Linked DNA regions of Mus musculus. The protein of the gene in region 4 binds, or shares a complex with, the protein of the main gene of each other region. Links are inferred from orthologs where the notes say so. Each region holds a gene or a part of one and is shown on either strand. Other genes may lie near its edges.

What was found.
Region 1: Snrpd1 (region 4) and Prpf3 share a complex: the UniProt entries of both Homo sapiens proteins name them as parts of the U4/U6-U5 tri-snRNP complex. The link is inferred for Mus musculus from reciprocal best matches to the Homo sapiens genes SNRPD1 and PRPF3.
Region 2: Snrpd1 (region 4) and Prpf31 share a complex: the UniProt entries of both Homo sapiens proteins name them as parts of the U4/U6-U5 tri-snRNP complex. The link is inferred for Mus musculus from reciprocal best matches to the Homo sapiens genes SNRPD1 and PRPF31.
Region 3: Snrpd1 (region 4) and Plrg1 share a complex: the UniProt entries of both Homo sapiens proteins name them as parts of the minor spliceosome. The link is inferred for Mus musculus from reciprocal best matches to the Homo sapiens genes SNRPD1 and PLRG1.
Region 5: Snrpd1 (region 4) and Prpf8 share a complex: the UniProt entries of both Homo sapiens proteins name them as parts of the U4/U6-U5 tri-snRNP complex. The link is inferred for Mus musculus from reciprocal best matches to the Homo sapiens genes SNRPD1 and PRPF8.
Region 6: Snrpd1 (region 4) and Gemin5 share a complex: the UniProt entries of both Homo sapiens proteins name them as parts of the SMN-Sm complex. The link is inferred for Mus musculus from reciprocal best matches to the Homo sapiens genes SNRPD1 and GEMIN5.
Region 7: Snrpd1 (region 4) and Ppih share a complex: the UniProt entries of both Homo sapiens proteins name them as parts of the U4/U6-U5 tri-snRNP complex. The link is inferred for Mus musculus from reciprocal best matches to the Homo sapiens genes SNRPD1 and PPIH.

The regions. Positions count from the first base shown.
Region 1 is NC_000069.6:95,853,086-95,857,182, reverse strand, and holds the start of Prpf3 (U4/U6 small nuclear ribonucleoprotein Prp3), read left to right. Parts: upstream 1-1,297; 5' UTR 1,298-1,434; exon of another isoform or gene 1,435-1,863; intron 1,864-3,545; 5' UTR 3,546-3,594; coding exon 3,595-3,739; intron 3,740-4,097. UniProt on the Homo sapiens protein: Plays a role in pre-mRNA splicing as component of the U4/U6-U5 tri-snRNP complex that is involved in spliceosome assembly, and as component of the precatalytic spliceosome (spliceosome B complex).
Region 2 is NC_000073.6:3,636,485-3,639,984, forward strand, and holds part of Prpf31 (U4/U6 small nuclear ribonucleoprotein Prp31), read left to right. Parts: exon of another isoform or gene 1-177; coding exon 178-267; exon of another isoform or gene 268-2,146; coding exon 2,147-2,274; exon of another isoform or gene 2,275-2,373; coding exon 2,374-2,446; exon of another isoform or gene 2,447-3,091; coding exon 3,092-3,220; exon of another isoform or gene 3,221-3,304; coding exon 3,305-3,403; exon of another isoform or gene 3,404-3,451; intron 3,452-3,500. UniProt on the Homo sapiens protein: Involved in pre-mRNA splicing as component of the spliceosome. Required for the assembly of the U4/U5/U6 tri-snRNP complex, one of the building blocks of the spliceosome.
Region 3 is NC_000069.6:83,069,038-83,072,537, reverse strand, and holds the end of Plrg1 (pleiotropic regulator 1), read right to left. Parts: coding exon 3,474-3,500; intron 2,846-3,473; coding exon 2,737-2,845; intron 1,942-2,736; coding exon 1,802-1,941; intron 1,349-1,801; coding exon 1,155-1,348; intron 428-1,154; coding exon 368-427; 3' UTR 247-367; downstream 1-246. UniProt on the Homo sapiens protein: Involved in pre-mRNA splicing as component of the spliceosome. Component of the PRP19-CDC5L complex that forms an integral part of the spliceosome and is required for activating pre-mRNA splicing.
Region 4 is NC_000084.6:10,616,646-10,620,595, forward strand, and holds the start of Snrpd1 (small nuclear ribonucleoprotein Sm D1), read left to right. Parts: upstream 1-1,150; 5' UTR 1,151-1,267; coding exon 1,268-1,281; intron 1,282-3,950. UniProt on the Homo sapiens protein: Plays a role in pre-mRNA splicing as a core component of the spliceosomal U1, U2, U4 and U5 small nuclear ribonucleoproteins (snRNPs), the building blocks of the spliceosome.
Region 5 is NC_000077.6:75,493,277-75,496,776, reverse strand, and holds part of Prpf8 (pre-mRNA-processing-splicing factor 8), read right to left. Parts: intron 3,427-3,500; coding exon 3,230-3,426; intron 2,964-3,229; coding exon 2,757-2,963; intron 2,640-2,756; coding exon 2,476-2,639; intron 2,350-2,475; coding exon 2,223-2,349; intron 2,104-2,222; coding exon 1,911-2,103; intron 1,544-1,910; coding exon 1,356-1,543; intron 1,196-1,355; coding exon 957-1,195; intron 748-956; coding exon 601-747; intron 437-600; coding exon 226-436; intron 1-225. UniProt on the Homo sapiens protein: Plays a role in pre-mRNA splicing as core component of precatalytic, catalytic and postcatalytic spliceosomal complexes, both of the predominant U2-type spliceosome and the minor U12-type spliceosome.
Region 6 is NC_000077.6:58,165,740-58,169,870, reverse strand, and holds the start of Gemin5 (gem-associated protein 5), read left to right. Parts: upstream 1-1,331; 5' UTR 1,332-1,417; coding exon 1,418-1,583; intron 1,584-2,001; coding exon 2,002-2,162; intron 2,163-3,796; coding exon 3,797-3,978; intron 3,979-4,131. UniProt on the Homo sapiens protein: The SMN complex catalyzes the assembly of small nuclear ribonucleoproteins (snRNPs), the building blocks of the spliceosome, and thereby plays an important role in the splicing of cellular pre-mRNAs.
Region 7 is NC_000070.6:119,317,724-119,321,984, reverse strand, and holds the start of Ppih (peptidyl-prolyl cis-trans isomerase H), read left to right. Parts: upstream 1-1,461; 5' UTR 1,462-1,510; coding exon 1,511-1,576; intron 1,577-1,751; coding exon 1,752-1,816; intron 1,817-2,131; coding exon 2,132-2,155; intron 2,156-2,420; coding exon 2,421-2,465; intron 2,466-3,398; coding exon 3,399-3,441; intron 3,442-4,261. UniProt on the Homo sapiens protein: PPIase that catalyzes the cis-trans isomerization of proline imidic peptide bonds in oligopeptides and may therefore assist protein folding. Participates in pre-mRNA splicing.

The DNA.
Region 1 (4,097 bases), on a different chromosome or scaffold from region 4:
CTTAAAAAAAAAAAAAAAAAAAAAAAAAAAGTTTTACATTTTATTTGGGGGATGTGTAGTGGGGAACTTGCCATGGTAGACAAGTATTTATTAAGTACTTAATTGTATGAGTGTTACTGTAAGTATAAGCACTAAGCGTGTGGTGGCTATTCCTGGTTATCTACTTGACTATATTTGGAATGAACTACAATTCAGAATTGGAAGGCTCACCTGTGATCCTAATCTGGAGGCTGAGATATACAATTTCTGACCTGGATCTTGGCACGGAGATCTTGAGGCATAGTGGCTATAAATTCCAGAAAATTAAGACTGGGGGATCTTTGAGTTGAAGGCTTGGTGGCACACACCTTTCATCTGGGCCACACCTTCTGCTGGAGACCTACATAAGGACATTGGAAGAAGGAAGATTCTCTCTCTCTTCTCCACCTGCTTGTCTTGTGGGACTGAGCAACTGCTAGATCCTTGAACTTCCTTTCATAGCTGCTGCTGCCCATTGTTGGGACTTGGACTACAGACTGTAAGTCATCAACAAATCCCCTTACTATACAGAGACTACCCATAAGTTCTATGACTCTAGAGAACCCTGACTAGTACAAAGCCTAAGTTAACTTTTATGAATACGGTAGATGATACTACAAGTACAATAAGGAAAAAAAAAAGAAAAAAGAAAAAAAAAGTGGGACTCTAGAGCGTCAAGTATCAAAATTAAATAGGGCGGCCAGAAAGGCTTCTCTAAGGCTAATTTGAGCACAAACCCGAAGTAGAGTGGAGTGCAAATCTTGTAGTTTTCTTAGTAAAGAGCCATGCAAGGCAGAAAGCGACAAGCGAGAAAGTAGTCTGGTTTCTGAGGCTGAGCTAGCAATTGGAATACTGTTATCCCTAGAGGTTAGGAAGTGAGGCAGGTTTTGGTGTTTCATTGGCGAATGGGAAGCCAGGGGATAGCTCTGAATCTGTTCTTTTTTGTTGCCTGGTCTCTGGTATCGATTTTAAATTAGGGAGGCAAAGTTAAGGGAGGGCAGCTAATGCTAGAGATCACAATTTTTTTTTTTTTAAACTAGAAAGGACACTTTGAGTACGAATGTGGACGTCCTTGCTTTTAGTTCTAAGTGATAATCTTAGCGCACTAACTCTTTGGACCCGAGGGAATGTGATGCCAACCGATTTCTGCTCCGGGAAATAATGCCCGAACTAACGTTGGCATCGCTCCGGGACAACCCGCGGACTAGGCTTTAGGATCCCGCGGCGCGTGCGCCCCGCGGCCGGCACCTTGATACCGCGGCTGCGCAGCTGAGGCCCCGCCTTCCGTAGTCACGTGCCGTAGGGACCGCAGCGTGGCGGTGTGTGGCGGTAGCGACGGCGGGCCGTAGGGCAACCGGAAGGTTTCCGGTTCCGGTGTAACGTTCGGGCTCCGTCTCAGGGGCTGAAGTTTGTGAGGTGAGTAGTGGCCCCGCGCCCGAAAGGCTGTAGCCTTCGGTGCGAGCGGCTGGACAGGGCGGGAGTGCTCGGCGGGAAGCAGGCTGGGAGGACTCCCTGGTTCTGTCCGGGGAAGAAGTCAGAATGGGCTGGCTGAAGGCAAAGGGCGGGGGCGGGAAGCAGCAGGGTGGGCAAACCTGCCCTGAGGTGAGGAGTTAGCGCGGACTCGGTGGGGCCGGGGCCAGGTGGGAAGATAGCAAAGACCGGAGCATGGGGTTCCAGGGGCTTGTAGCGTAGAAAAGTAAGGAATCCCTTCGGAAGATGAGATTCTGCTACCTGCTCATTCAGAAGACAGCGTTCTGCCTCCCTCCCCTTCCCCTTCCCCTTCCCCTCCACCCCCCAGCCCCCCACCGACGCTGACGCCCCCTCGCTATTAGAGTTGAACATCTGGTTAGTGACAACTCTACTGACTGAAACTTTCTTATCCATTGACTGTTTCGTTTGCACATTCGGGTCGAATTTGAAGACATCCATTTGTTAGTATATTTCTTGAGCTTACATCCAATATGCTTAATATGCTTCACCTATTACTCTGGATTTTGAAAATTGCTTAAACTTTCTAGCCTATTATTCAATTGTAGTGGGTTGTAAGTCCCATTAACATGAGGATTCTTGGCTGTTTTGTTCACTGCTGTGTGTGTCCTTACATGCAGTAAGTATTCTGCTTGACAAGAAATAGTAACTTAAGTATTTATTGAATGGAGTGTTATACCAGATGTCTCATTTTCTAAGATAAGTATACTGAGGCTCTCGGGAATTAACTTGCTTTCCTAAGGGCTTATGAATGGTGGTGCTTACTATATTCTATCTTAAATGGGCTTTCTTCTCCACTTTTAGTGCCTGTGGTTGCTTTCTTTTTGATAGGCAGTATACTGCTATCTCATGATGGCCCAAAAAAGCTATCCCAGGATTATTCATAAAAGTTGTCACTGAGAAACAGCCTTCCAGATTCATTCAGATGTATTAAATACTGTGTATTGACAGATCTTATGAGAGAGAAATCTGTCAAGAATGTAGGAGCTAATTAGACTGCATCTTTTTTTTTTTTTTTTTTTTTTTATGACAAGGTCTCATGTAGCCACCGGTGATGTTGAACTCTGTAGCCAAGGCTGGACTTGAACTCCTGATTCCCCTTGTGCTGGGATCACAGGCTTGTATGATCATTCTGAGGTTGCATTTTTTAGATGTCTTTAAACATCTTGAAAGAGTAATTCCCAGATCATACTAAGATGCATGGCAGTGCTAAGAGGAGGTCTTATGGGAAGTTGAGGTCGGTGCAGTCAATAGATTGACATGCAGCCATTAGGAAGAAAATCAGAAATTAAGTTATCTTTATGCTGGTGAAGATGTTGAGATTTAAGATTACCCAAATGTAAGCATGAATAGTGTTGAAATTTTTCTCCAACTGTGTTAAGTAATAAAAAAATCATGTTGGTGTATAGAATACTTACCAGCATGAATAAAACTACAGAGAAAGGTGACAGCATTCTTAAGGATTATGAGATTTAACACAGGAGGACTGACTTGAATAAACCCTCTTCTTTGAATCCGTTAGACAAGTTTTAGGTCAAAGTTAGGTTAGAGAATGGCTTCCAGAGCAGAAGTTGACTTCTAGATTGACTCTTCAGATGTTCTGTTTGCCAGTCTTTTGTGTGACAGGGTCAGAGTTAGAACCCATTCCTCAGATTACGTTATTCCTAGTTTGTTCATTCTTTAGATAGCAATGATGACTGATGCTGAGTTAGAATTAAAATATCAAATGAGTGGGGCATGGTTGTATGCTCCTAGAATTTCTCACTGGGCAAGTGGAGACAGGAGAGTTGCCAAGTGTTGAGTTCTGTATGAGCTACATTGTAAGACCGTATCTCAAAAAAAAAAAAAAACAAAAACAAAAACTAATGGACCCCTTCCTTCTGTTTTGAAGCTTGGTTTTAGGGAATGTATTTCCCTTCATATGAAGTGGAGAGATGTGCTTGGGGTTGAAAATAGGAATGGGGAAAAGCACTCTTATTATGCTATTATCTTGATTGTTTTGTTTTCCTTTTCTCTGACTCTTGCTTGGTTTCTTTTAGGTGTAGTTTTTTTGTCCCATTGGAGCTCTCATTCTCCATTTTCTCCGAAATGGCGCTGTCTAAGCGGGAGCTGGATGAGCTGAAGCCATGGATAGAGAAGACGGTGAAGAGAGTGCTGGGCTTCTCAGAGCCCACAGTGGTCACTGCAGCCTTGAACTGTGTGGGGAAGGGCATGGACAAAAAGAAGGCGGCTGGTGTGTACCTCTCTCACTCTTCTGACGTATAGTGATTCCAAACACTGATTTGAACTTCCCCAGGTTGTCCCTGTTAGGAGCATTAAAGGAAAGGTGGTGCTAGCCCCCTTCTCCTTTTGTTATTTGCTTGTTTTGAGACAAGGTCTCCTGTGTAGTTGTGTCTGACTTGGAACTCCTTAGAGATCCACCATCCTCTGCCTCCTGAGTGCAGGGGTTAACAGTGTGCACCACTCCCTCCTCCCCCTTTTTTATTTAAAAGACAGGGTCTCATGGAGCCCAGTCTGGCTTCCAGCTCACTAGCTGAGGATGGCCTAAGACTTATGAGTCTATTTCCTCTACATCAGCAGCTCTCCAGCTG
Region 2 (3,500 bases), on a different chromosome or scaffold from region 4:
GGAAACTGGGGGGCAGCCAGAGTGTACCCCTCAAGAGGCTGTTATTAGAAGAGCCCACGGGTATGAGGCTTACCTCCCAGAGTCTGGGGTATGGCTGCCCTAGATGAGGAGTGACTATTGTAGTGGCTGTTACCTTCTCTAGAGGTTCAGTTTCCTTTCTCCTTGCCATTGCTCCAGGATCTCCGGCGGAAGGCGGCCCGCCTAGTGGCTGCCAAGTGTACACTGGCAGCTCGTGTGGACAGCTTCCATGAGAGCACAGAAGGGAAGGTGAGGAGAGGACAGGCATCTGTCCCTGGTGCTTGGGGTCTTTTCATGGGAAGATGCTACTTCAGAGACCTCTTCTGACTAGCAGACAGATGTGTCTGTCTGCAACCCCTACTGAGGCCATCACATTCTCAGCTCTGTATCAGTTATGACAACTCACTATAGATGGAGTAGCTTCATATAAAAGTTGGCTAGGCCTCTTTAACATCAATACTTGAGAGACAGAGGTGGGAAGATCATTAGTTTGAGGCAGTCTGGGTTATATAAGTTTCAGGCCAGACTGGGCTGCATAGTGAAATCCTGTGTTTGAAAAGAAAAAAAGCCCAGGGCTGGAGATGCGGCTCCATCACTTCAGTTCCTGCATGCAAGCATGAGAACTTGAGTTCAATTCCTAACTCAGGTTAAGGGAAAAAAGAAAGCAGGCAGAGTACTTCACATCAGTAACTAACCCCAGCTCTGGGAAGGTGAAGGCAGGAGGGCATTTGGAGCTTGTGGGCCTGGCAACCAAATCAGTAAGTTCCAGTGAGAGACCCTGTCTCAGGAGATAGGTGAGGTGTTGGTGTAGAAGCCATGATACCAGATCTTTGGCTTTTTGTGCAAAGATCCTCTGCCATGTAAAATGTAGTCACAGATCCTAGAGACCAGGACACCTGACACCAAGGTGTAGCCCTGTGTTGGAAGGGACAGTATTTTGCCTACCATAGTAGGACCTGTCCTGTACTAGCAGGGACATGATTCCAGTGATACCATCTATTTTTCTGTGTGGGCTTAAGAAACAATACTGTGTGCATTTCCCTGCTAGAAATTACATCATAGCCCAGGTCAGAGGTTCAGTCTTTGGTTTTGCCTTTTGCCACTTTCTAAACAAGGCAGTACAGCAGGGGGTTATATAGATGTCAAAGGTCTGCCTCAGTGGCTTTTGTGTGTGTGTGGTGGGTATACTGGGATTGAACCTAGGACTCTACGTGTTCTAGACAACTGATCTGTACCACTGAACATACATCTATAAGATCTATACATCCTCAGCTCACCCTCACCCTTTTGTGAGACATGTCTTATCTCTAGTCCAGGAAAGCCTTGAACGAGTTTTGATCCTCCTGCTCCAGCTGCTAGCTAGGATTGGAGGTTGCTGTGTCACACAGCATTTATGTTCTAGCTGGGACCAAAACAACTAGGCAGTAGTTCTGAAAAGTCTGTAGTGGGTTCAGTGGTGCTTTGTGAATGCCAGGGGCAATCAGGGGGGCTGTGGGGTTAGGAAGCTTAGACTCTGATGACAGAGAATGTGAAGAAAAACTTCTGAGGACGTTTTAATTTGGGCTTGAGTGAAGTTATAGTCAGTCGTGTGGCTACTTGTGCTATCCACTTGGAAGAGTGCTCCAGACAGAGTGAATAGTGAGTACAAAGATCTTGAGGCCAGAGTTGAGTGAACCCCAGCAGGGAGAGGAGCCTTCTGCTTCCAGGAGCAGATAATGTGTACAACCTTTGAGGGCCTCTGGCTGCTGTAGAGGCACTGAGAAGCAGGCTAGCTGGGGTCTGTTCTAAGAGGCCAGGGGGATCTGTGGTGTGGAAGTAAGGCAGTGGAGATGACACGCTGTCTGTTGACTAGAGAATACAGGGATTCTGCCTGGCCCAGGACTCAGACAGAGACAATTATCCAGAGGGTGCAGAGCTTAGATATGAGGACTGAACCTGAGCTACAAGTTCAAGGAGCACTAGGCACTGGAACCCACAGAGCACCATTCCTGGACAAACGTGAAGAACATGTCTTGGGGAGGGCACACTGTCAGGTGGTCAGATACACAATAGATGGGTTGATGATATATAGATGTTGGCTGAGGGGACAGTTTACATGGCTGGCCACCGCTTCTCAACTCCCCCCTAGGTGGGCTACGAACTAAAGGATGAGATTGAGCGCAAATTTGATAAGTGGCAGGAGCCACCACCCGTGAAGCAGGTGAAGCCCCTGCCTGCACCCCTTGATGGGCAGCGGAAGAAGCGAGGGGGCCGAAGGTAAGGAGTTCTGATGGGGCTAGACGTTTGGAAGTGGGGAAGGGAAACAACTTCTTCCCAGCCAGCTCCCTATATCCTGTTAACACCCACTTGCCCTAGGTACCGCAAGATGAAGGAACGGCTAGGACTGACGGAGATCCGGAAGCAGGCCAACCGCATGAGCTTTGGAGAGGTCAGGCTTGATCCACAGTACCAGTGGGACCATATTAGGGTCTTCTCTCTGCACATCCTGCTGCCATCCCTCCTCCCCACCCTGTAATCTGAGAGCAGATCTGGGGCTACCCAACCCTCCTCCCTCTTGTCTAGCCTCTCCTCTTAAACCACCTTCTCCATGGTGATCTTTGCAGCTCTCAGCTGGCTGGCTTCCCACGCAGCTCTCCAGGCTGCTTCTATATCTGACTGTCATCTAGGTGGTCCTGAAAGAATCCGCTTAGGTGCCACCTCAGTAGCGCGGCTCATCCCAATTCTTGGCAACTTAATGTGGATGTAGAGAAAAAATGGCTACTCTACTCAGGTCAGGAACCAGTTCTTCCCAGGGTTCCTAGCTATACCCAAACAGAGGTAGGATAGGCTCTTGTTTTTGTTTTTGTTTTTTCTTTTCTGAGACAAATGTGAAGCGAGCTTTAATTACATACTGCTAAGGATGATGGACTCTGGCCAATAGGGTAGGCTCTTATTAGGTCACTTAATGCTGCCAGTCCCCTGGCTGATGAGGTGGTGTCCATGAGACTGGCTGATTGGGTTCTCAGGTGACTGCCTCAGGGGACTGGCTGGATGTACCCAGCTTCTTAACCGCAGGTTGCTCTCGTCTCACCAGATTGAGGAGGATGCCTATCAGGAAGACCTGGGCTTTAGCCTGGGCCACTTGGGCAAGTCAGGCAGTGGGCGTGTGCGGCAGACCCAGGTGAATGAGGCCACCAAGGCCAGGATCTCCAAGACACTGCAGGTATGGATTGGGCCCATGAGAATGGGAGGCAGGTGGGATATGGAGGTCAGTGAGCCTGGATCCCAGCCTCCCCTTTCCCTACAGCGGACCTTACAGAAACAGAGCGTGGTGTATGGTGGGAAGTCAACAATTCGTGACCGCTCCTCAGGGACTGCCTCCAGTGTGGCCTTCACTCCACTCCAGGTACCATACCCTTTTCTACCAGGCATATGATAAGGCTGCTGTGGAGATCTGTTGAGATATAGCACATGAGCTTAGGCATCCACAACCACACAGTAAG
Region 3 (3,500 bases), on a different chromosome or scaffold from region 4:
TCAGGGATCTGACAACTTCTTCTGGCCTTCATCGGCACCAGACACACATGTTGTACACAAATGTACATGCAGGCAAAACACACCTATACATGTAAAATAAAAACCAAAACTAAAACAAACAAACAAACAAAAAAAACCCAGTCAAAATAGTGTTAGGAACAACAATCCTCAACATGCCTGAATTCTTTATATTTACCGTTTACTTCTAAAACTATAAACTGTTTATTTCAGAAATAAAACACAGGTGAGGGACATGGGAGCAGTTTATTGTAAAATACAAAGCAGCAATGTTTTCTGCAAGTGAGCTTTCATGAAAGACCGGATATCCTCATCAACACCAAGCACGAACAGGACAGCCATGAAGACACTAAAATCGCTTTCTCTTGATAATTTCTGGTTTCCAGCTGACTGGGTGAGTTTCTTCTGTCTAAAATCAGAACAGTAAACAAAGTGTGATTTTATTAGTTTGTTTCCTTTCAATGAAAAGATCTGTCTCTGCTAAATCATAGTACTTGCTTGGCAGGACGTGCTGAGTGGCTCTTGAAAAATTTTAGAAACAGCTGACAAACTTCTGGCATTATCCAAGTTTGACCAGGGATACATGGGTTCGGTTGGATTTCCATTTAGCTATTACAGCAACCCCAGCGCTCTACCTCTACCCTCCTTCCCTCAGCAGTCTCCTGTTTGCCACGATTAATGTATCATTTCCTTCCCAGGAACTGTACTGAGGCAGAACTGTACTTAAAACGTAATGCTTTATCACTGATGTGTCTGCATCAATGAAACCACACAGAAGCCCTGAGCAGGTCAGATCACTATCCAGAGGATGAAACTGATGGTACTATAGTGAGTCTGTTTCTTTTTGTACTCAAATGAGCAGTCCTTGTCAAATTGACATGCAATTCTTTTACTTTAAAATGCATGTGAAAGCTGGGTGTGCTGGCTCATGCCCAAAATCCCAGCATCGGAGAAGCAGAGGCAGGAAGACAGTTTCAAGTTTAAAATCAACTTGAGCTACAAAGTGAGTTCCAGGCCAGCCAGAGGTACCATGTGATACCTTGTCTCTAAATATAAAATATAAAATTAAATTAAACTAAAAAGGAAGGAAGATAGGAAGACAGACAGACAGACAGAGATGGACACTAAGAACTTACCGCAGTCTCATCCTCTCTGTAAACTTTAATGGTTTTATCAGCTTCAGCCGTTAGTAACCGACTTTCTGACCGATCGAAAGCACAAGCAAATATTCCTGACTCACTGTCCAAAGACCCAGGCTGTACAGCTGCATGGACGCGCTGAAAATTATAGCCAGTTCTCCAGTCCCAAAGGTGCATGGTGCCATTGTCAGCTGCAAGGGAAACACACAGCTCTACTTCTATCCCCTCAACAGCTCAGATGACCCAGGAGCTGAACATTACACCAGCAACACACACACACACACACACACACACACACACACACACACACACTCACACACACACACTATCTCTTTCCCTCCCTCCCTCCCTCTCTCTCTAATTCCCTCTAAGTCTCTAATTTATAGACACCATAACATTTAAAATCCAACCAAACATCAGGCAGTTCCTAGCGTAAATCCCTACCTTCATCACATGGGAATGCAAAGATGTCTAAACTATGCAACATGCTGCATGGAACACCACTGAGCACGACGGCAGGCACATTACAAACAGGCACATACACCCTAGTAGGTGTGTCACTACAACAGTGTGATGCTTTAGATACTAACTCACTCACATCAACAGAAGGGCACACTCAACACACCATAGAAACCTTGTGTTACCTCCAGACACAAGCACTCCATCAGCATTGACCGCCAGCGTGTTAATGATTGCATTGTGACCAGAGAGATTTTGAATGAAGCCTCCATCGGGGAATTTCCACTGCTTTATGTTATCTGGAGAACCAGACGCAAATGTGTAACTAGAACAAAGATTGACAGGAATTAATGGGAAAGTACACTGTATCAAAGAAAACTCGCAGCTTTGAAAAAGCTCTGTGTGCTCACTGCTCCAGACAGCCTCAGTAAAATGTAACTTCACCACAGTACAAACTCATCACTATCCTCGCTCCAAGTTCCACCAGCCTTGTCCAGCTGCTGAGATGTACTACTTTAGATCCCAGAGCAGTGTTTTGTTTTCTTTAGTGTGTTACACACTAATTAGCCCAACAAATGTGCACACACACAGGGCAAAAAAAATCTTGAAAGGGAAGGAAAGAGAGGGATGACAAGAGAAAAGGAAGGAAAGGAAGGGAAGGGGACAAGAAAGGGAAGGCGCAGGGAGCAGTGGGGGAGGGTTGGGGGATGTGTGTGGGATGAGCTGAGTCAGGAGTGGCCTGCCTTCTCTGGGAACCGCAGTGCTGATGTCTCTCCCTCCATTTCCTGCACACTTACTTCTCCCTTAGGAATCTAACTCTGCTCTGTCTCTGACAGGACACCATATGTGAAACAATCTGGACAGGTCAAAGTGGGTCCAGTACCCTGTATGTCCAGACACGACTCCCGCCTACTCTGACATTCAGCTTTAACCACAACTTGGCCTTATTTGTCACTCTGTAGAGGGGCTATGGCCTTCATTCCACAGAGCACGAGGCAACAGCAGCAGATGGGAACTGAAAGGCCGTCCTAAGCAGCACAGGCAGAGGTACAGCAGGCCCCCCTGGCCTCAGCGTCACTGAGACGCGGAGAAAGGCAAGCTATCAGCACAGCACACTTACAGTAGCGGATGTAAGACCACAGCCCTCACTGATTTCTTATGGTTCGTCAGTGTCACTCGTGTCTTTCCAGCCACTAGATCCCATAATCGTATTGTGGTATCGTGACTTCCTGTAGTGAAAAGACAGAGACCGGACAGAATCCACAAGTTAAAACCCATTAAACACAATGTACTTGTCTGTGTGTGTGTGTATGTGTGTGTGTGTGTGTGTGTACACTAAATGAAAGTCCTATCACTGTGAATCATTTCCTCAAAATCCTAAAACTGTAGTTATTCTATATTTAGTTCTTTTTAACTTTTTGCCAGAGGCGGTAGAGAGTGGCTAAGTATAAAGAGCAAATAAAAACAAATATGTAATTTTAAACTCCAATGGCAGGGAAGGGGAAAAAATGAATCTTTTTATTTTAAAATCTGTAGTTAGCAAAACAAACCAACTGAAAGAATGACTTTCCAGTCACAGTTAAGATCCAATGTCATTCAAGTAAGATTCATACTAGAATGATAGGTTACAATGCCTAACCTTTTTATGTAATGATACATAAAAAACACAAGATAAAAATATAAACAAACAAACAAAAAACCCTAGAAAACACCTTGCAATCCTAAATTTCAAATGCCCATGATTAAAATCCAAAGAGAAACTAGAACGCGAGTCGGTCGGAGGTGGAGGTGCTTGCGGCGGCTGCAGAATGGCCGGCCGTGCCTCTGGTACGGCTCAGGGGGAGCAGCAGATCGTACCTGTAATGATCTGTGGCTCTGCAGCCT
Region 4 (3,950 bases):
ATTATTTTGAGTAGAAAGTATTAAAATTACCCCTGAGTCACCCTGGTTGGCTTTCCAGCATAAAACAGACAAAATCATTCGAGAGTTGTGTGAACCTTTCTGCCCAGACCTTGGACTAAGAATGTACCTGGCTCTGATTAGCTTAAAATAGACAAGGTATAATCTTATTTGGCTGAAATCTCTTTTTAGGGGGAAGGGAAGGTTCGAGATAGAGTTTGTGGCCCAAACTTGGACCACCATGCCTAGCTATGAAATAACGTTTCCCCTGTTTTATAACCCACATTACAAGGACCTCTGCTTTTCTTAATGTCCAGGCCCATTGTTCTGTTATAAGTCACCCTTAAGCTGCACACTGCAATTCTGGACTTGCCTGCCTCTTTCTTTGGTCTCATTGATCCTTGGGACCAGTTCCCATACATGGGGACAGGGGTGTTTGTTGACAAAATCACGTTCCATGTAAGCAGTTTTGGAGAGCGCAGAAAGCAGTTGTATTTCCTTGCTTTTAGACACGATATTCTCTCTAGAGCCATAAATAATAAATTATAGAATCAAATGATAATAAACTAATATCATCCAAATTCTTTCAAAATTATTTGCACTATGTTTGTAATTAGAGACAAATGTATATGTTGAGTAACTACATTTAACAGTGTGGTTATTGCAAATAAGGTGTTGAATTTTTTGTTTTAACTTTAACTGAAATATCCACATACATTTTTTTAAGTCGAAGGACTTGCTATATATAAAATTTATTTAAAACTCTGTCCTGAGAGTGGTTTTTCTAGTTTTAAGAAGGTACCCTGCATCCCCAAAGGAAAACCATTCTGTCCAAAGATTTGATTGGCTTAGCTTAATGTCAAGCCAAGTAAGGACATCTTGCAGGACCGAGTTCCCTGCTTCCAACATGTGAATCCCAAGTATTAAACTCGAATCTTAGTGGGCTTCTTTCAGAACTTCTCTTCCTTTAACATGTGAAAGTTCCAGGCCTTCACAAGTAGTTTTAATAACTTCGTAACTGGTCTAAAAAAACCTGCAGAAGATGTCGTCCACCAGCCCTCCCGCCCTCCGAAGGTGCAAAGCACTCCTCCCGTCGCTAGGGGCCGCTGTCGCCCTCCCGGTGGCCGGAAGGCAGCGCAGCTTCCGCGTTCTCGTCGCGCGTCCGCAGGCCTCCGCGCGCTTTTCCGGCCATTCATAACCCCAGTCCGTGGATCTCTGGAGCCTGAATTCTGTGAACAGTCGGGCCAGAAGGGAGAACTGCGTCGCTAGGATGAAGCTCGTGAGGTGAGGAGGGTACCCCCGCCGGGCGAGGACGACGGGTAGAGGATTTGGGGTCGGCTCGGGAGGCCGGGCCGCTGTGCTCCCAGGGAGGCGGGAAAGCCGCGTGCGCGCGGCCTGCTAACGGCCTCAGGCCCCCGGGCCCCGCCGCGCCCTGCCCGCCGCCCAGAGCCCGGGCGAGGGGCCAGCGCGCAGACCCCGCCGGTCTTCCAGGAATGGAGGGGCCGAGCCGCCTCTGCCCACCCAGTATCCGGCAGCTTAAACGGAGCAGTGGCCCGTTTTCTTGGCGAATCGGACCATTTGCACTGAGGAGGACTTAGTAGACCTAGCATGGTTTTATCTGCAAATGATGACGCCGATTTGCAAGACGTTTTAGACTAAGATCTCCTTAAATTTGACCAGTTATACGAAGTATGTAAGTGGTTAGTGTAGGCTTCTAACTCAGGAAAGACAAAATGTCCTAGGATGGGGCAGAAGGTAATAAATTAATTTCGCCTGCATAGTTAATATCGGAAGTGGAGCCTAACTAGAGGCATGCTGGTTTAATTCAAATGAACAGGCTTGGGTCAAGCCTGAGGCAGGTTATACAATATCAAGCAAATAACTAGAAATATTTAGTTTCTTGTTGAGTCAAGACTGTTGTAGTTGGCCAGAATGGCATTGAACACCTTCTGAAGTAGTTGTACATAATTCACAAGAATTCTTTTAAAACATTTTTGAAGTTTTTTTAACGGTGACTCATAGCCTGCTTGAAATTGGAAAAAAAAAAATTACTTCAGGAGGAATTTGAGGGAGAAGGCATTTAAGGTTAAAAAAATTTTCCCCTGTTCTGGGGATGGCACGCAGAGAGCTTCTAATAGTCACTTAACCTTGAGCTCAGCCCCAGTTCATTTGTATTTGGACTGTAACCTAGGTAGAATGCTAAGACTTGCCGTTTCTTTACTCCCTGATATGAACTATAATGTATTTACAGTAACATGTTCATCTCATTTAAAGGTTCTATTATGATAACTTTGCCAGCATCCTAGGCAGGTGCTCACTCTCCTGCTGCTGCTGCTTTGATTTGTCTTGGACCCTATTTTGTATAGCGCAAAGTATAGAGATTTCTAATTACAGGAGAATTTTTTTTAAAGATGTATTTATTTTATGTATGTGAGTACACTGTAGCAGTACAGATGTAGCAGTTGGGGCCTTCATGTGGTTGTTGGGAATTGAATTTTGGACCTCTTCTCGCTCTGGCCCAAAGATTGATTTATTATTATAAATAAGTACACTGTAGCTGACTTCAGAGGGTGTCAGATCTCATTACTGGTGGTTTTGTGAGCCACTATGTGATTGCTGGGATTTGAACTCAGGACCTTTGGAAGAACAGTCAGTGTTCTTACCTTGCTGAGCCATCTCGCCAGCCCCCAAGGGAGAATGTTTTTTGCCCTGTGAAAATGGTTGACTGGTTTGCACTTTTGGTGTGGGCTTTCTTATTTGTGCATGAGTTTTGTATTGGACTGTATTGCCTGTATTTATCCCGTTGCCACCTTGCCCAAACTTAGGAAGTGTGCTTAGCTACCTTTCTCTTAATCCTCCTGGCGTCTGGTAAGTTGCCAGGTTTCTTAATTTTTCTAACTGGAGATACTTCTCACTATCCAGTTCTCTTTGGTTTTCTATTCAAATAGGAAAAATTTGGGTACTAAAAGGACCCCATACACTTTACTGTTTGATGTGCCAGTCTCATTAAGAAAAGAATTCACAGCTAGGTGATGGTGGCCCATGCCTTGAATCCTCACACTTTCTCTGCGTTCAAGGCCAGCATGCTGTACAGCGGGAGTTCTAGGACAGCCAGGGCTACACAGAAAACAAAAGTAAGAAGAGAATTCACAAAATGAAGGACTCACTGGAAAATAATTTGAATTTATGTGTTCCTTGGCCTCTTTTTACTTTTATATTGAGACAGGGTCTCACAAGTTGTGCTGCCTGACTTGAAATCACTCTATCTCAGCTGACATTAGATTGAGAATCATCCTGCCTCTGCCTCCTGAGTGCTGGGATTAGAGGCCTTCACTGCCACCAACCAGCATCTCTAGATAGCATAAGGGAATTTTTGTTTCGTTTTGTTTTGTTTTTCGAGACAGGGTTTCTCTGTGTAGCCCTGGCTGTCCTGGAACTCACTCTGTAGACCAGGCTGGCCTCCAACTCAGAAATCCACCTGCCTCTGCCTCCCAAGTGCTGGGATTAAAGGCATGACCACTGCCTTGCTCATAAGGGAATTCTTCAGCAGAATATTTTCTTCACAAAAGGACCCTGTTCTCCCCACCTCCTCCTTTCTGAGTGCTGGAATTAAGTCTTTGCCACCGTGCCTGGCAAAATACTGTTTGTAATGTAGTAGTTTAAGGTTGCTGAAACGTTCAGCCTGTACTTGGTGTGTGTTACTATAGAAAAGTCGTGCTACTTACTTTCTCATGGGAGAATGGAATAGGTAATATCACTCGTGTAGTTTACTGTAGTGGATGTTATAGGAGTGCACAATGGATATTGTAGAAAAATAAGTAGACTGGAAAATCTGAATATGAAGTGTTATTAGATGATATTGTAGATTATCATTCCATTGCCATTTGGCTAAAATAAAGCATGAGTGATAATGTAGAATTCCTGGTGGGTTACATTCCTGAATATTAATAGAG
Region 5 (3,500 bases), on a different chromosome or scaffold from region 4:
TGGGAGGTAGAGACAGAGGCAGGCTGATCTGAGACAATCAGGGCCAGTCTTGTTTACAAAGTGAACTCAAGGCCTGCCAGTGTTACAGAGACACTGTTTAAACAAGCAAGGATTAACTGTGACTAAACCCAACCCACTTAATGATAATGAGAAGCTATGACTGTTCTCCACCCATTGACTCCAGAGTTACAGGGGTCGTAAAAGGATGTCCTTCCTGGACTGTACCTCATTCTGTAGGTTCCAGACCCCGTCCTTGTGGGTGAACTCTTCATAGCTGGTACGGCACTTAGGCAGGATGCGGCACTCAAAGCCACACATGTTGAATAGCAGGTTGGGGTTGTCTTTACTGTACACAGACACAAAGCTATTCTCCCACTGTACTGTAGTCACCGATCGTGGCAGCCGGTTTTTGATGTCCCAGAACACTGCCCGACCCCTATCCAGAGAACACAGAGGCACTTCAGTCTGTTGAAGACACATTCAAAGACCAGGTAGACGATAGCCCAACAGGCCTATATTCCTTCCCCCCAAGGCACAACCTCCTCAGTCCTAATTGAGGACTAACATCCTCGTGATTCCACAAACCCAGCTGAGACTCACAAGTTGACATCATGCTTCATGAGCCGCATTCGGGCATCTCGGGGCCAGCATTTCTTGTTATTGTAGCCAACAATGTTTTCATTGTTGGGGTCTGGGTGTTCTGTCAGGTAACGCTGGATCAGATCCCGAGCCTCATCTGCTGTGAACCTACGTTAAGACAAGGTACACGGTCGAACTCCAAATATACTAGGACCCTTTGAGAACTAACTCTAGCTCCACAGTGGGGACCCTATTCCCCACTAGGCTTCATTTTACTTTATAGCCCAAAAGCAATTAATCAACTAAGCTACAAGAGCCACTGCACAGACAGAGCATGGCTCCCTGCCCTGTTGGGTAAATGAGCTGTGTGTCATTACCTGAAGAAAATATGGATGCGATCAATGTATCTACAGAAGAGTCGGATTGGGTGTGCAGCCTCAGTGGCTATGTCCTGGAAACTGAGAAAGTCATTTGGCATCTGAGGAGGCCCAGCCATCTCACTGGCCCGGTGCAATCCCAGTACAAGCAAATCCATCACCAAGCCATAGTACTGTACAATGAATGAGGCAAACTGCAGGCCTCTGATGATTCCATATGAGTTTGTATGGTTCATGTCCTAGAAAGGAAAAAGGAAAAAAGAGAACCACAATTCTTAGCTATGACTAGGGTTGACTGTGTCCCAAGCACTTCAGGGTCCAATCTCCCTCAGCAAATCCTAACTCCCTGGGTCAGACATGCCCTCAACACATTCCTTTGTTCCTTGCTCTAGGACAGACCTTATAGTTGATGACTACGTTGTTCTTGGCCGTCATGTAGTCAGCTATGTTGTGGTCCACAATGAGTCGCAGCAGCCTGTTAAGCAGGGTCAGGTCAATCTTCTCATACATCTTCTCAAACCGAGACTCCAGCATGACGTTGCACTCGCCCTCACTCGTCTCCCACACATCCTGCAGGTTATTAATGCCTACAAAAGAAAAATGTCGGAGATATGGCACATTAAAAATTTCTTTTCAGGACTAGTAACCTCAGCAGCTCTCAACACATTCCAAAACCATCCATCCATCCATCCATCCATCCACCCATCCCAACAGTAGTATTCATTCTTTCTTTTTATTAGACAGGGTCTCTCTGTGTAGTGCTGGCTCTCCTGGAACTCACTCTGTAGACCAGGCGGTCCTCAAACTCAGAGATCTGCCTGCCTCTTCCTCCTGAATGCAGGGATTAAAGACGCATAGAACCACCACCATCTGGCAGTACTACTCACTCTTATGCAATAAAACGGACTATGCAGCCTGAATGTTTATACAGAAGTAACTCCAGCAAAGTTGTACCTTGACACCACTTGTAAACAAGCAGTGGAGGTGGCTCTGTGTCAGCAGGCTTGATCCAGGGTGGGAAAAGACGGCGTTTATCTGCTTCATACCACAGGTACTGGTCCAGGTAAGCATCAGTTATTTTCTCCAGTGGTTCCACATCATACACTGGTACAAGGTGGCTATAGAGATCCATAAACTCAATGCCCACCTGTGGGAGGAGGAACCTGGTTCACATCAATTCACCTAAGCCAATCTGCCACCCACTAGATAATCTGCCAGGAATAAAGAGCACAGACCAAAAGAAAACGGAGGGAACATATTACTCACTTCCTTAAAGGCTCTCTGTGTGAGGAGGTGACGCTTGATGCGGGACAAAGCCTCATGGGGGTTGTCATAGGCTTGTTCAATCAGACCCAGCTCCTCCCTCTGAGACTGGTTTAACCTAGACTTCACACTGACAAAGCAAAAGGAAAGTGAATGAGATGCTAAACCAGAAGGAACTACACCTTCCTCTGAACTCTGACCACGATGCCATTCTCTCTGTTACCGTCCCAACAGGAACCCACCAGCCACCCCTTACCTATAAGCTTCCTTGAGACGCTCCAGAGCCAAGATGAGCAGCTTGGTATCATGCTTGTAGGAGAGTGGAGGGAAGGGGATGGGCGAGAATCTCCGGCTCTCCAGCCAGTGCACAGTGGTGGTATACACGGCCACTGCCTCCTCGGCTGTGATGTAAGGCCCATCCTGGAAGGTGAACGTCAGGTTAGTCTCCCACTACTGTCCACACCAGGACAAAGCCTGATCCTCACTCTGCAGTCCACCTCACCACCCAGCCCCCACACCCAGTCTAGCTGTCCCAACCTTCAGGTAATTGTGCTGCCGCTCCTGCTCTGCCTTCAGATACAGGCGAGTGAGGCGGCCCAGGTTCTTTTTGCAAACAGTCTTGTCTACAGTAGCCCCGCGACGGATCCGTTCCCGGTTGTAGTGGGCAGTATTGGTCCACCAATCAGCCTTGGCCTTAACGTACCGAAGAATCATATTCTCTATAGGTGTTGGCAGTCCTGGGACCTGCAGGTACAGACACAATGAAAGAGTACTAAGACCCAAGCATAGTGCTCCACACCTGCACCCCAGCATGGAGGCGGAGGCAGATTGATCTCTTGAGTCTGAGACCAGCCTGGCCTGCAGACTTCCAGCTCAGCCAGGACAACACAGTGAGACTGTCTCAAGAAGGAGGGGTATTAGAAGGTGGACAGTCCTGTGAGGATGTGGTACTCCTAACCTCAGAAGGATGAATGAATGGCAGGCCTCCTTGGAGGTGGAGGAGAGCCTACCTTCCAAGGGATGTTGGCCTTCCAGCAGCGCCAGGCTTCACTGAGGTGCTGCAGAATTGTCCGGGCCTTGTTCTGCTTGATGCCTTCAGGCATCATGTCCAGAATGTCGTGCATCACAGCAGCCCTGAGCTCCAGGTCAAAGTGCGACTCCACCCGCTGCTTCGTTACTGTCTTTGCCACCCCCTTTGAGTGACGGCCTAGAAGTGAAAGACAGCCCAGAGATCAAATCAGTAAATAGTGACAAGTGTCCATGCGACCCACACATGGCAAA
Region 6 (4,131 bases), on a different chromosome or scaffold from region 4:
GAAATATGAGCACACACACACACACTAAATAAATAATAAAGACTAAGAGACGAGCTAATGCGTTTGTGTGCTCCTGGCAAAACTAGTGATCAATGTGGAGTCTGGTAACCCTGAATTTAGTGCCCTTAGGCTATGCTAGCATAGGTAAGGGCTCTCTATTAATGATAGCCATTGCAAGTTTCCATATGCCACATTCAGGAAGGGCTAACAGCAGTACAGAAGTACAGTCGAATCTGAACAAGTTGCTTGGGTTTGAGTTGTAAGCAGAGTTCAATTCTTTTTTCCCTCCACACCACTAACTAGTTCTCACAGCATAGGCACTCCATTAAGCAGGAGGCGGGATGTCAAACCTCTGCTCTTTAATCTTTGAATACCCCAGTATCAGGAATCAGAATTCCCACCCAACTACAGAGTCTCTTCCTGTCCTTTCTGATTCCTGACTCATTTCATTTATTTTGACAGGCTCTCATACTATAGCCCAGGCTGCCTAGCCTGGAGCACATGGCAATCCTCCTGCCTGAGTGCTGAGCCAGAGCTCAGATTCATTCTTTTAGTATTTCAGCTAAATACACTCTTGCATCTGTCTTTAAAACACCTCCCAAAAACTGGAAAAGTACGCCGCTATGTAGCATTTAAAAACAAACAAACAAACAAACAAACAAAAACTTGCCAGGCATGGTGGCGCACGCCTTTAATCCCAGCACTCGGGAGGCAAAGGCAGGCGGATTTCTGAGTTCGAGGCCAGCCTGGTCTACAGAGTGAGTTCCAGGATAGCCAGGGCTATACAGAGAAACCCTGTCTCGAACCCCCCCCCCCCAAAAAAAAAAAAACTTAATTGGGATACTGAACTGCCTTGTCCAATCTGTCCCAGATGTTTCTCGCTTAATAATACTTGCCTTGCTGGATTGGACAAAATAAGGAGCTTTAGTTAAATACAGGTATATATGGCGGTAAATGCACACAAACGCATTAGCTCATCTCTTAGTCAACCTTGAGGTTGGTAGAAACAGGGTATTTCACATCATGTTGGCCTTTATTATTTATTTAGCGCGTGTGTGTGTGTGTGTGTGTGTGTGTGTGTGTGTGTATGTGTGTGTGTGTTGGCCTTTATTATTTATTTAGCGTGTGTGTGTGTGTGTGTGTGTGCGTGTGCGTGTGCGTGTGCGTGTGTGCTCAGTGGCTGGTTGGCGGGTTCCACAGGTCTAAATCCTTAATTAAGGAAAATATGTAACCTCAGGACCTGGAATTTAGTTCCAGGCGGCGCACGGGAGCGAGAGGCGCGGGTTGGGCCTCAACGCGCTCCGTAGCGCCCGCCTCCAGGGGCGGGGTTTAAATCGATCCCGCCCCCTCCCGCTCCACGCCGCGGTTGCGAACCACCGTCCCAGAGCTCCTCTGCTGAGCTTGGGCGGCCGCGGAGATGAAGCCGGAGCCGCGGACGCTGCCGCCGTCCCCCAACTGGTACTGCTCACGCTGCAGCGACGCGGCGCCCGGAGGCATCTTTGGCTTCGCTGCGCGGACCTCCGTCTTCCTCGTCCGCGTGGGTCCGGGTGCGGGCGCGAGCCCAGGGGCGCCCCCGTTTCGAGGTGAGCCCCTCACGGGTCGGCGCAGTCCTTCCTGCCGTCCTCTTGGGGGAGTTCTGTAAGTCGCCGGGTCCGGCGGCGCGCGCACGTGGCCTCTCTCGCTTGGAGGGACTGACCCAGCCTAGACCCGGCGTTTAGGGTGCTCCTGGCCTTCCTGCTTGGCCAAGGCCCTGCCGGCCCCTAGTACGCCCCCTGGGGTGGGGGCTGTTCTCCCTTCTCTGATCCCGCTGGGCAATTACTTGACGGTGATGTCTGTAAGATGAGTGGTGATGACACCCAGCGTTTCTGTCTTTCGTCTGTGGATGTTTCTGTTCCATGTGTGTTAAGTGACTTCTGTTTATCTGCTTGTTGTTTGTCCAGCAACATGCAGGCTAACTGTCTGGATAGTGCTTTAGTTAACCAAGTCTGGTTTTGCTTGCAGTGGTAGGAGAGTTGGTGGGACACACTGAAAGAGTATCTGGTTTCACTTTTTCTCATCACCCTGGACAATACAACCTCTGTGCCACCAGCTCAGACGATGGAACTGTGAAGGTTTGGGATGTAGAGACCAAGACTGTAGTGACAGAACACACACTCCATCAGGTAATTGTGCATCCTGAGGCCTCAGATTGTTTTAATAGATCTCATGCATATGGAGGAATGCTACTCATTTTTGTTGGCTACTTAGATATGTTGGAAAGTCTCTCAAATAACTTTTTTTTAAAGATGCATGTTTTGTTTAGAAAGTAGAGTTTCTGGTAGCAGCTGTAACTTGGCTAGGTAGAGTGCCTGGCTAGCACACTCAAAGCCCTGGGCTCAGTCCCCAGAACTGCATAAATGAACATGGTGGTGCACACCTGTAATCATAGCACTTGGGAAGTGGAGGCAAAAAGATAGATAGTCATTCTCTTTTTTATATATATATATGTATATATATAGAGAGAGAGAGAAGGGGGGGGGTGTCAGTTTTTCCAATGTATGCCTGCACACCAAAGGGGGACATTCAGATCCCGTTATAGACCGTTTAAAACTACCGTGAGAGCTCTGGGAATCAAACCTGGGACCTCTTGATAAGTAGCCACTGAGCTATTCTCCAGCCCCTAGTCACTAACTCTTTTTTTTTTTTTTTTTTTTTTTTTTTTCCGAGACAGGGTTTCTCTGTGTAGCCCTGGCTGTCCTGGAACTCACTCTGTAGACCAGGCTGGCCTTGAACTCAGAAATCCGCCTGCCTCTGCCTCCCAAGTGCTGGGATTAAAGGCGTGTGCCACCACGCCCGGCTTAGTCACTAACTCTTATCTGTAGCTGCTTTGATGATATAACAATAGAATTGAGGAACAGCCACTGAGAGCATGGCCTACAAAGTCTAACAGAGCCAATAGGTCCATATAAAATATATACCCGGACTGATAACTGATGAGAAGGCTTTCCAGGTTCAAGGGCCTGTCCTGGAAGCCTGATGACCTGAGTTTTGATACTTTGTTTTATTTTGTTTTCTTTACTTGAATTGTGTATGTGTATTTCGCCTATAGGCCTGGTGTCTATGGTGGTAAGAAGTACATGAAAACTGAAGTTTCTGGTGATTGTTGGTCACCATGTGGGTGCTAGGAACCAAAGCTCTGCAAAAGCAGCAAGTGTTGTTAACCACTGAGCGGTCTCTCCAGCCCCTTGAGCAGTTTAATCTCCATGAAAGTAAGAGAGAACTGGCTCCACAGAGTCTTCTGCCTTCCACATGCTCGGCTGTGGCACATGCTCTCCCCAACACAATAAATAGAAAATATAGGGGCTGGAGAGATGGTTCATCCATTAAGAGTGCCTCCTACTGTCCCAGAGAACCCAAGTCGGGTTCCCATCACCCTTGTGGGTTGGCTCATAACCAGCTCCAGGGAATCCGTTCACCTCTTCTGGCCTGCATAGACACACATGTGGCTTTGCACACATGAGTAAAAAGTGTGTCTGTGCACGTCCATGTCAGTATCCCCAGGCATGGTGGTGCATGGCTGCAATTCTAGAATTCTTGTACTCAGGAGACAGGCAGAAGGATTGCCTTGAGTTCCAGGCCAAAATTACAAAGTAAGACGGTCTCAAAACCACACAAAAAGTTTTAACTTTAGACTTACTATATTGCTATACAGGTAGTTATAGCATATTTCTTAAGTACCTGTAATGTGGGTAGCATTAGGCTGGTTTACAGCCCAACACTCACAAATGAGACTCATCTGGCTTTGCTTTGTTTGAAGCATACAATATCAGCACTGCATTGGTCTCCGACAGTTAAGGACTTAATAGTCTCTGGGGATGAAAAAGGAGTCGTTTTCTGTTACTGGCTTAACAGAAATGACAGCCAGCACCTCTTCACAGAGCCCAGGACCATATTCTGTCTGACGTGTTCACCTCATCACGAAAATCTAGTAGCCATTGGGTGAGTACCGAGTACTGTGCTGTCTGCTGGTGGTTTGGCTTAGTTTATGATCCTGCTTTTCTTTCCTCTTGCCTGTGTGCCTCAGTCCTCAGAGGACGACAGCAGCCCAGGGTGTCATATGATCCTGTGAGCTCCAGTTCCAGACTTTGCTCT
Region 7 (4,261 bases), on a different chromosome or scaffold from region 4:
AAAAAAAGTGAAAAAATGTTTCAAAAAAGACCTTAAGCTGGGCAGTGGTGGTGCATGCCTTTAATCCCAGCACTTGGGAGGCAGAGGTAGGCAGATTTCTGAGTTCGAGGACAGCCTGGTCTACAGAGTGAGTTCCAGGACAGCCAGGGCAATACAGAGAAACCCTGTCTCAAAAAACCAAAAGCAAAAACAAAACAAAACAAAAACCAAAAAACCTTAAAGGGTGTAACAACCAGGGCTGGAGAGATGGCTCAGTGGGTAAGAGCACTGACTGCTCTTCCGAAGGTCCTGAGATCAAATCCCAGCAACCACGCCCTCTTCTGGGGTGTCTGAAGACAAGTATAGTGTACTTACATATAAGTATCTTTGGGCCGGAGCAAGCATGAGAGAAGGAAAAGAGGGGGGGGGGGTAGCAACTGAATGCCCTCCAAAACAGAGGCAGAAGGGTACTTGGTAAAAGTGGTATAAGAGAAGCCAGCCTTTACTTCCTGGTCTTTGCTACCAGCAGTGGCAAACAGCATTTTAAATAGGCAAAGCCCCATACGATTTACTAGCCTAGAGACCCATCCCATGGGCAAACAACAATCCCTGAGACTGTTGTGCTTGCAGACAGGAACCTCGCATGGCTGTCCTGAGAGACTCCACCCAGGAGCTGACTCAGGGATGCAGAGACCACAGCCAAACATCCGATGGAGCTTGAGGACTCCTGAGGGCCTCCGAGGGGATTGGAACTCCACAGGAAAACCAAGAGTCAACTATGACCCTTGGGGCTCTCAGAGACTGAACCACCAACCAAAGAGCATAGACAGGCGGGACCTAGCCCCCTCCCACACACACACGGTCTTTCATGTGGGTCCCGAACAACTGGAGTAGGGGCTATCCCAAAAGCTGTTGCCCTGCTGTGGAATTCGTTTCTTCTGCTTGTCTGGACTCAGTGGGAGAGGATGAGGCCAGCCCTGCAGAGACTTGATGTGCTAAGGTGGAGGGAAAACCAGAGGGGGTCTCTACCCTCTCAGAGGAGAAGAGAAGGAGGGGGTGGGGAAACCGGGAGAGGCGGCAGCACTGGGGATGTAAATGTGAATTAAAAAATAAAAAATTTTACAATCATAAGAAAATAAATAAAATTACATTTCCAGCACCCGACTGAGCCAGGCTACAGTAACAAACCATTTTAAAATATGGAAGGTGACTCAGGGATCCTCGGCTCATGAGCTGTGACAGGGGACACCAAGTGTGACTGCTCAGGACATGCTGTCTGCAGAAGATTCATTTCTATTGCACTAATACAGTCATGCAAGTGGGGAGCCCACAGACTTTGACAAAGATGCCTGCGTTTCCTCCCCTCAGCTCCGACCAGCTCAGCCAAACAGTACCATTCCCAACAACCTCAGCGCGCGCCACACTTCCGGGGCGGGGCGCAATCGCGGTCCGTTTCCACTGCGTCTGCGCTCCGGATGAAGTTCGCGGGACCTGCCACCGGAAGCCGGGTTTCTACTTCCGGGTCAAAGCCATGGCGGTGGCAAATTCAAGTCCAGTCAATCCAGTGGTCTTCTTCGATGTCAGCATTGGCGGCCAGGTGAGGTGCGGGCGACCTAGCGGCCCGTGCGGGCTGGTTGGCCTCGGGTAAGGGAGGCAGCCCCTTATAGCCCTCCCGAGACCGGCTGGGCCAGGCGGCGGAGGGAGGTGGGAGCTTTCGAGCTTCGTGGACAGCGGTCGTGAGCTGAGTGTTGCGTCTCCCGTTTCTTCTGCAGGAAGTTGGTCGCATGAAAATCGAGCTCTTTGCAGACGTGGTGCCTAAGACGGCAGAGAACTTTAGGTAAGGATATGCTCCAAGTGAACCAGAGCTGAGCCCGAAGCCGGCCTCCAGTCGGTCTTTGCCATGTCTGCCTCTGTCCATCTATTCATTGCCTTGCAGCTCTGTGGTCTGGGTATTTCACTGGCCAAACAGCTACCGGCTGTGACTGATCCCATATCAACTTCTATCACTAGTCTACCTGCCCTGACATCCGCCCGATCAGTTAGTTGGCGGACATACTGGCCCCAGTGTTTGAACTCTCCTCTCCAGAGATTAGAGGTGCTTCAAGCAGTGATCGTACGAAGGCTAAATCGTTTGCTCTCTCTTTCCCTTTAGGCAATTCTGCACCGGAGAGTTCAGGTCAGTCTCAGATGTGTTTGATTTCTCTGCCTACTCCTGAAGGGGTGCCCTGGATGTTTGGTGAGGGTATTGGAGAACCATGAACAGGTCTTAAGTAATGGAAGATGATATGCAGAGAGAGGGTGACACCTTGAATGGGTTCTTTCTCTCTCTTTTTCCCCCTCCAGATCTTAGTGAGAGCCCTTTTAGCCTCTGGTGTAGCCTAAATGGGAAAGGCCCACCATTGTGTTTCCCCATTCCAAGTCTCTTCCTTCTTTGTTTACAGAAAAGATGGCGTTCCGATAGGATACAAAGGAAGCACCTTCCACAGGTAAGGGAGGTTTTTGGAAAACTGGAAATGCAGTCATTGCTTGGTATCTGTACAGGCAGTCCTGCACACCTGAGTTCAAACTCTGTGAGGCTTACGGCTGTTGTTTTAAATGGCATGTTCGCGGCTGAGGCTGTAGCTCGGTGGTAGAGAATTGGCCCAGCATTCATAAGGCCCTGGATTTGGTACTGAACACCATGAAGCCTATGCACAGCGCCTTAAGTCATCCCTGACTTGGTGGAATGCTGTATTGCAGAAACGATGCCAAGGAAAGCATGCTGTACCCTTTCAGTACCTGTTCAGTACAGGTGCGTGGCCACGTGCTCCCAGAGGTCTAAGCTCAGATCCTTAGGCTGCCACAGCAAGCACTTCACCCACTGACCCATCTCCCTGGCGCCAGTCAGGACTTCAGCAGAGGCTTTGCTAGTTACCGTTGCTAGGCAGTCATCTGTAGGAGCCTGGCTTTCATGATATATTTACTTATTTTTTGTTAGAGTTTGACAGAAGTTGCTCTATTCTAATCCTGAAAATGTCCATGTCTCCCACATAAGGGCTTTAAAGCTACAGTCTGTAACCCTCCCTAGCATTCTTGTGAAGTAGTATGTGTTTTCCGAGTTCTTCAAGGAAGGCTAAGCAAAGCGAAGGGCCATAGCTGGTGTACTAGCTAACACCATCAAGTCTCTGTGTGTGCAGTAGTCCATTCACCTAGATTTGCTGTTGTTCTTTTCCCCCAAATTGCAATAAGCCCTGGACATGATTTTTTCCTTTGGTGACTGTTGGTGATTCTAGCCTGGTTTCAGCCCCTTCCTGATGTTCAGGTGCGAACTCACGCATCTAAGATCAACTGAGTTAAGACTGTACTTGCTCGCCCTTTTCTAAGCTTCAGTGATTAATCCACTGAATCTTTTCTCAGGATTTTTTTTTTAACTGTTTCAGGGTCATAAAGGATTTCATGATTCAGGGTGGAGATTTTGTTAATGTAAGTACTGCTTCTTTTCTTTGTTATTTTTTTCTGGCAGGGCCCTAGTCTTGAGACTTAAGAGCAATAGCTAAGTTAAGTGGAGAGGGCATGGGATGTACTGTAGAGTTGCTGGCTACCACTGACTGTGTCCTTAGAACACATAACAATACTCTACTGAACCATAAACTTCCACTTTCCAAACCCTAGCTGTTTGTAACTAGAAACTGGGCTTTGCTGGCATACCTATAGGTGATCTGAGACGGTCCACATTCATTGTTCACAGAAAACTTTGAAATTGACTGCAATTTTTCCCTCAAAAGGAAGGGAGCTGACTGCTTTTGTCTCCCATTTTTCCTTCCACATCTGCACATCTTCTGTCACTGTCTAAAAACTCTAGTTTTTTGTTGGATTGCTCTGGGGGGGGTTAGGGGCCGGTCTTTCTTTCTCTTTTCCTTTTGAAAGCTAAGGTATTAATCACAAGCTGGTTAGCAAGCAAGGGATCAGATCAGGAGAGACAGGAAGTTTAAAGGGTGTTCGCTTGCTTGCTGAGGTAGCCCAGCAGATCCATTCTTCACAAAAAGACCATGACTGTTGGTGTCTCCATCCTTCCTTGGAGTGTGTCCAATAAGCTAGAATATCTCTTTCTTAAACCAGCTCTTTCCTTACCCATCCACCTCTGTGCATGCTGTCTCCTTGCTGTTAGCATTGTTTATGTGGGTGTGTTACTAAGTCCTTTTGTCTGAGAGATGGTCTTACTCCATCAGTTGTAAATTTAGTTAGATTTTTGTGAGTCTTTAGAGGTCTTCCTCCTACACAGGGTTGCAATGGCAGGCTTTAG